Linked DNA regions of Macaca fascicularis. The protein of the gene in region 1 purifies or fractionates together with the protein of each later gene. This does not show direct contact. Links are inferred from orthologs where the notes say so. Each region holds a gene or a part of one and is shown in the gene's direction. Other genes may lie near its edges.

Region 1 (3,751 bases):
CTGTAGGACCCACACTAAAAAATAAATAAAACTGATATTTTTATATATTTTGATATATTGATCTCAATATATCAAAAAACGTTTATCACTTCAACATGTAACAATTTTTTGAACATTATTTGGTAAAGAACGCATACACCTCGATTCGGACTAGCCATACTTTAAGTGCTCAGGAGCCATGCGGGGCTGGTGGCCCCAAACTGAACAGCACAGCCCAGGCAGCACCGGCGCAGAGTAGGTTCTGCTCACGCCCATGGGCTGAAAGCAACACGGTTGCAGTTGCTGTGAGCACACCTCACCTGGAGCAAACCGGCCTATCAGGGAGTCCACCGAACAGATGTCTACATTTGGGGATAAATTAAGACAATGTTCTTTAAGCCAGTCACTTATGTAACTCCCACCGATATTTTAACTCCTAGCTACGAGATGTGGTGGGTGGTTCCGACCTATGCAAATGATCAGTGTACATACAGAGGGCCACCGTCTATTTCTCATTATCTGGGGATCCCAGTTGGGGTGGGGGGGCGGAAGTGGGTGTTTGTTATTTCCCCAAATGCGAAGGCCCCTGCACCACTAACGCGGGGAAACGCAGGCGAGTGGGAAGGTACTTTAAAAAGGGGAGGGAGGTGCTCAGAGAGAAGCTAGGCTCTCTGGGGAACAATTACGGCCACGTTACGGTCTGTAGGTGCCAGAAGGGGCAACAATGGAGGCAGTCGAATTCCGAGAGCTGAGATAGTCAGCCAAACTTAGCCGGCCTCGGCCCGCGGGTTACCGAGGGCCCCAAAGACTCCAGGCCACTAGGGTCCAGTCTCGGCACTGGGCCGCAAACACCGCCTCGGCCTCGGCGCGCACACCCGCTGTCTCCCTGCTCCTGAATGGCTGGGGGGCCGGGATTAACCTTTCACCGCTGGGCCCTGTCCAATCACAGGCTCGCTCTCATGCCGCCACGGGGCGAGCGGAGCGTGGGGGCGCGGAGGGGCGGCGCGGGCGCCAGTGGGATTCTCCAAGCGGCTGTGCGCCGTTGCCGCGGGCCGTGCGCAGGCTGCGGGCCAGCCGGGCGCTGCGCAGTCTCCGCAGGGGCCGGCGGGAGGGGTCGAGGCGGAGGCGCGGCGCAGGCTGCTGCAGGCCCAGGTGAATGGAGTAACCTGACAGCGGGGACGAGGCAACGGCTAGCGCGAGGAAATGGCGGCGGGGGCGGCGGCGCCGGGCGGCTCCGGGAGGCCTGGGCTGTGACGCGCGCGCCGGAGCGGGGTCCGATGGTTCTCGAAGGCCCGCGGCGCCCCGTGCTGCAGGTGAGGCGGGCTCCCGCGGAGCAGCTTTGTGTCCGGGGCCGGGAGCGGCAAGCCCAGCCGCGCTCCCGCCTCCGCGCTGAGGCCCGCGTGCCGGCCATGGGCCCGGGCCGCGCGTCCGGGCCTGGCGGGTGCTGGTGGAGGGCGCGGCCTCGCTTGCCTCGTCGTCCCGCGCAGCGCGGCCTGTGGACCCGGTGTCTGCCCACCCCGGCGCCTCAGCGCGAGGCAGCCCTGGGAGACTCTCCGGACCTCCGTGGCGTGGTGGGGGACGCCGGCGCCTGCCCACTCCCCGGCCTGGCGAGGCCAGGGGGTTCTTGACAGGTCCCGTCACGCGCGCGAAAGTGGCGCAGGAACAGCGGAGGTGGAGACGCGCCCTGCCAGCCGGAGCACCCTGGGGCCCTCCTGTGATGGGGCCGCTGCGCCGCGCTCGGAGGGGACGAAGTCGGGCTCTAGGTCCCTCCCGGGAGGGTCCTGTGTGATTACTGTCAGGGGACCAGATCGGAGCCCGGGGGGGCGGGCGGGGCCGAGGCCATTCTTTTTCCTCTCCCCTCAGATGTTTTTGTGCCAACATGCCCAGACCCTGCGGAGGAGCCTTTCTTCAGGGTTTTTGATTTTGGGGAAATCAGAGTATGTTTTAAGTTAGCACATCAGATTTATGTAGATTGTCCAGAAAAGCTGAGTCGCCCTGATGGCTCTGCCTGGAGGTCAGAGCTAGCAAACCACTGAGTGTGTCCTTAGAATCCTGAAGATCTGCGGAAACGTGGAGATGAGTGGAGGGTCCTTGGTGTGTAGTGTTCACTCAGTGCTTTTGTGGAGAGAGTTGTGGTTAAAGGGACACGTTACTGGTCTACACGATAAGTAAGTGTTCTTAGGACTTTCAGATTTTAAAAACATTCATCTGATGAACGAGGATCACTTGGACGTCTATGCTTCTGTCTTCGAATATTCTGAATCTTTACAATCCTGATTGTCAGGTGTCTTCGTGGTGCTTGTCTTGAGTCAGTGGAAAAGGACTCAGGTTAGGAGTTAAGTAACTCGGAAAATATTGTTAAAAATGTGCTTTTAAAACAGGTTAGCTATGTTGAAAATGTATTGGTGTAAGCGTTAAGTTTTCTAAATAAAAATATACATCCTTACCAAAAAACTCAGTTTACTAAAAGATGGGTTCGGGATAAGCCAGGTCCTAAAGAATAGTAATTTTCGATATTATTGATATCTTTGGGAATTAGGTTCTGGAATAGCCGGTTTATTTTGCAAAGTCTACTTTAAGGCTACCTGTGGCACGTGTGTATTATATGTAATATGTGCTATATACATTCAAAACTTCATTTTAGGGCATATTCCATAAAACTCAATAGATTAAAAAAACAAAAAACTAAAGATTGCTTTTAACATGGTCACTGTAAACATTGATCATGGTAACATATGTTTATAGATTTACTCATGGCACCAAAATGCTGTTTTAAGAAAAGAACAGTTAGTCCATTTTTATGTGGGGAGAAAAGACATTTTCCTACAATCCTTTTTAGTGAGGGCCTGCTTTACTTTTTGTGCTTCCATCTCATGTTTGAAGGGTGAGCCCTGACTGCTGTATTTTGCCGGTGGCTCAGTGTGTGAGTTGGGTAACAGGGTGGTTTTGCTATTATTGAGCTTTATTGTCTTGGTTTTAGAAGACATTTTCTTTTGATGTGGCTCATGATTCTTATTTGACGGTGATTTTGTGGTGTCACATAGTGGGTTGTACAGTACTTGTAGTGCTACCTTCTATAGAGGGTGACTTGTGGCGTTGCGATGTTTTATTCTCTACCACTATCTGACATGTGAGGAGCTTGTTTCATTTGAGAAGGTAGGTATTTCGTAGACATTCTCTCACTTGCGACCCTACCATGTCGTGGTCACATTTCCACTTGCTCATGGCAAAGGAGATAAGGGAAACATGTTATTGAGTGCTTCCTTGTTATGTGCCAAGATGTTTCAGGTTCTACATACATTCTCTTCTAATCCTTACTGTGACCCTGCGATCAACTCAATATTGCCCTTGTTTTACAGGCGAGGAAACTAAAAGTCCCTGATTATTACTCCAAGTTAGGAATTTCGAAGTGGCAGAGCCGAGATCGAATCCTGGTTTGGTTTCAGAATCTTTGCAGGCACGCTCTTTGTATTGCATTACTGTTCCGAGTGGATTTCAGGGCTGCATCGCGTGTAGTGACTCCTCAGTTAAGACTTGCAGAATGAATGAAGCTGTGTCTAGCCTTAAATGTTCAGGTGAATGAATGGTTATTTGAATATTTCAGATAGTTGTTCTTTTTTTTATTTGGCATGGTAAAATATACATAACGTTGAACCATTTTAAGTGTACAGCTAGCTGGCATACAGTACATTCACATTGTTTTTAGTCATTACCAGCATCCATCTCCATACTTTTTCGTCTTTCCCAACTCAAACTGTTCTCATTAGCACTA
Region 2 (3,651 bases), on another chromosome or scaffold:
TCATCATTGTGTTCGCTAGCACCTCATACACTGCCTGGCATCTAGTAGGCATTCAGTAAATATTTGTTGAATGCACTAATCATTTCTCTCCCCGCCCATAGCTGAGGTGAAACGTGTTGGAGATACACTCTTGGGAATGGCTACACAGTGTGTGCAGGTGAAGAATGTGGTCAAGACCTCACCTCAGACTCTGTCCAACCTCTGCCTCAAGATCAATGTCAAACTTGGTGGCATTAACAACATCCTAGTCCCACACCAGCGGTATGAACTCTGTTGTCCACTTGCCCTTTTCAAGGTACCATGCTGGGAATTGATGAAGAGATAGGACCCTGGCCAGGCAGAGTGAATCAGACACAAGGGGGAGAAGAGCAGAGTGGGTATTGGATGGTGCCAGCTAGAGAAGACCCAACGCCTCACCATTTTGTTTTCTCTTCCTTGCTCAGCTCTGCCGTTTTTCAACAGCCAGTGATATTCCTGGGAGCAGATGTTACACACCCCCCAGCAGGGGATGGGAAAAAACCTTCTATCACAGCAGTGAGTGATATTCTCCAGCTGCCTCATAAAGTTCTCCTCTTCACTCTGAGTCCTCAAAACTGCCCATGATTTCCTTCCCTCAGCTCTGGCTCTTGACCCTTCATAAGATCTCCATTTAGCTCGCTATTCCCAATTCCCATTCCCTTGATATGTCATAAAGGTAGCTCTGTATGGTGTCTTTTTTCAGGGAGAGTAGTGAGAGTGTAGCCAGAGACTTGACTCATTCTGCATCACTCTTGCTCTGCATTTGAATGTCTGTCTCCCCATGCCTGCTTTTGGCATGTAGGAGAGGGACTGTATCTTCTCTGAAATCCCTTTAAAGGGAGTTACTTAGTTGATGGGACTATCCTTTCCTCTGCCCATCCTCACTGTGTAATAGATTAGATATTTTTCCTATCTCTCTCCTGACTTTTCTGCTCTTTGTCTCCTAGGGGCTTCCAAATTGCTAGGGATCAGACTTCCTTTCCCACTTGTGTTTCCTAAACCCTCACATTTCTGTAGGCACACTGGTCTTAACCTCAGTAAGTGCAGGGAAACCCTATAATACGCTTATCCCTGTTTTTCTTGTGGCCATCCCTCCTAGGCTTTGGCCACTGTCTCCTTTCTAAATGGCGTTTCTTCCATCAACCACAAGAACACTGTTACTATGGTCATGATTCCTGGGTAGATTAGCATTTGAATGGGAAAAAGGATAAACTTGGGACTGGAAGAGGCCATTGTTTGATCTAGTAGTACTAAACCTTCACACGCTCCTCTGCAAAGGGTAGAGAAATCAATTTATCAAGTACCTACTGTGGGCTAGGCCCTGTGTAAGGTGCTTAATATGGACTGCAGTAGCACTGCAAGCAGGTGTTCTTATCAACATCTGAGAAGGGGAAAAAGGATCAGAGAGATTGAGTAACTTCTGCTTGTGTGATAGAATAGAGATTGAAACCAGGGCTCTTTGAATCCCAAGCCCTACTCATTCAGTTGCAGTTTTCTTGCTAAGAAGCCTTTCCACAAACCCATAGCCTGACAGTGAGGGTGAAGGTTCTAGGAGCTAATCCTTTTTCTCTGACTGTCAGGTGGTAGGCAGTATGGATGCCCACCCCAGCCGATACTGTGCTACTGTGCGGGTACAGCGACCACGCCAAGAGATCATTGAAGACTTGTCCTACATGGTGCGTGAGCTCCTCATCCAGTTCTACAAGTCCACCCGCTTCAAGCCTACCCGCATCATCTTCTACCGAGATGGGGTCCCTGAAGGCCAGCTACCCCAGGTAGGGCCCACAGTAGGTGGAGAAAACCTTCACATCATGGCTGGAAAGCTAGGTGCTACTACCTTTTCTAAGCTATTGGCACTGGGAGGTGTGTCACTTCTTCGGGAACTTTGCTAAATGGGGTAGACTTGGGGGCAAGGATGGCAACTGAGGGATGGAGTATACAAGCATCTGTAGATTTTTCTTCTCATAATAGAAGACTCTCAGTGCCTATTTAAGTAGTTGGTTCCTGTTGGAGACTGATTGTTTAGACCAGTGATTCTCAAATGCTAACTTACATTAAGATCACCTGGAGGGCTTGTTAAAACAGTTTTAAGGGCTCTACCCTTAGAGTTTCTGATTCAATGAGTCTTGGATGAGGGCCAAGAATTTACAATACTGACAAGTTCTTAGGCGATGCTGATAGTCTGGAGATTGCATTTGAGGACTAATGCTGTTTTGACCTTCCTTCATAATACTCCTCCTATTCATTCTCACTGCCAGTCTTCATTTTTTTTTTTTTAACTTCTATCCTGAACTGGTATCCTTGACTACCGTTTAATAGTATTATAATTACTGTTCCAGTGAACTTCTTGTGTGCCATGAACTGTGCTAAGCACTTCACGTTTTTTGTGTGTGTGTGTGTGTGTGTTTTTTCCTAAATCTGAGAGGAAACATGTTTTATTTAATGCTTTACAATAGTCCTATGGAATAATAGTGTATTTACATTTAACAGATGAGAAAACAGGCTTGGAAATGTTACATGATTCTTTAATGTCATCAAAGCTAATTAGGAGTGGAACTGGGATTCATACACATTGGTCTGATTCCATAGTTTATGCTCTTAACTGTTAGGCCCAGTTTCTATTTTTCTTTTTTCTTTTTTTCTTTTTTGGCGGGGACAGAGTCTCACTCTTGCCCAGGGTGGAGTGCAGTGGTATGATCTCAGCTCACTGCAGCCTCTGCCTCCTAGGCTGAAGTGATTCTCTTTTCTCAGCCTCCCAAGTAGCTGGGGCTACAGCTATGAGTCATCACATCCAGCTTATTTTTGTATTTTTAGTAGAGCTGGAGTTTCACCATGTTGGCCAGGCTGGTCTCAAACTCCTGACCTCAAATGATCCACCCGCCTTGGCCTCCCAAAGTGCTGGAAATACAGGCGTGAGCCACGGTGCCTGGCCATTATGCCCAATTTCTAAGTCATCCAGTATTTTCTAAAATATCAGACACATTTATCATATCACATATCTGTTCAGAAATGTCTAGTGGCTTCACATAGCTTTGGGTTAAAATTCAAACTGCTTAGTAAAGCAATCAGCAGTTATTAAGCCCTACTAGGTTTTCTGTGCTTTTACTTAATTGTCTATCTTAGTCTTCATAACAGCTTTGTGAAGCAGGTCTTAGTAACATTAACAGATGTGGAGAAAATGAGACTTAGTGGAGTTTAATAACTTGCCCAATGTAATACAACTAGTTAAAGCTTAAATTTACGTCTAATTGATTCCAAAGTCTATCGTTCTGTACCATACAGTTTTGACCCTCTATATCTGACATCCATGGCCATAGGAAACTATTGCCTATGATTATTTACTTCTAGCTTTTCCTTTAGCTAGCCCATTTTCTAATAATCCTGCTTGCTTTGTAGGACTGAATTCACCTACTCTCTCTGCACCCATTATGGAGCTATATGTCTGCTCTTCTCTGGTGGTCCACAACCTGTCTGCTCTTGGAGCCCAAAAGAGAACTCTCATTAGCTGCCTGATCCTGAGTGAAACTAACTTTGGGCATTGTAATTTTAGTGATTTCTCTGTGAACCTTGGTTCTGTGTCTTGATATTAGGTCTCTTTATACACAAGAACCAGATGTTTGTTGTCTTCTGATG

The links.
Region 2: the proteins of DICER1 (region 1) and protein argonaute-1 purify together in Homo sapiens (co-immunoprecipitation; 7 studies listed by BioGRID and IntAct, with this or other methods). This does not show direct contact. The link is inferred for Macaca fascicularis from reciprocal best matches to the Homo sapiens genes DICER1 and AGO1.

What each region holds. Positions count from the first base shown.
Region 1 is NC_088381.1:163,206,137-163,209,887, reverse strand, and holds the start of DICER1 (endoribonuclease Dicer), read left to right. Parts: upstream 1-992; 5' UTR 993-1,292; intron 1,293-3,751. UniProt on the Homo sapiens protein: Double-stranded RNA (dsRNA) endoribonuclease playing a central role in short dsRNA-mediated post-transcriptional gene silencing.
Region 2 is NC_088375.1:199,025,255-199,028,905, reverse strand, and holds part of protein argonaute-1, read left to right. Parts: intron 1-101; coding exon 102-261; intron 262-443; coding exon 444-534; intron 535-1,598; coding exon 1,599-1,793; intron 1,794-3,651.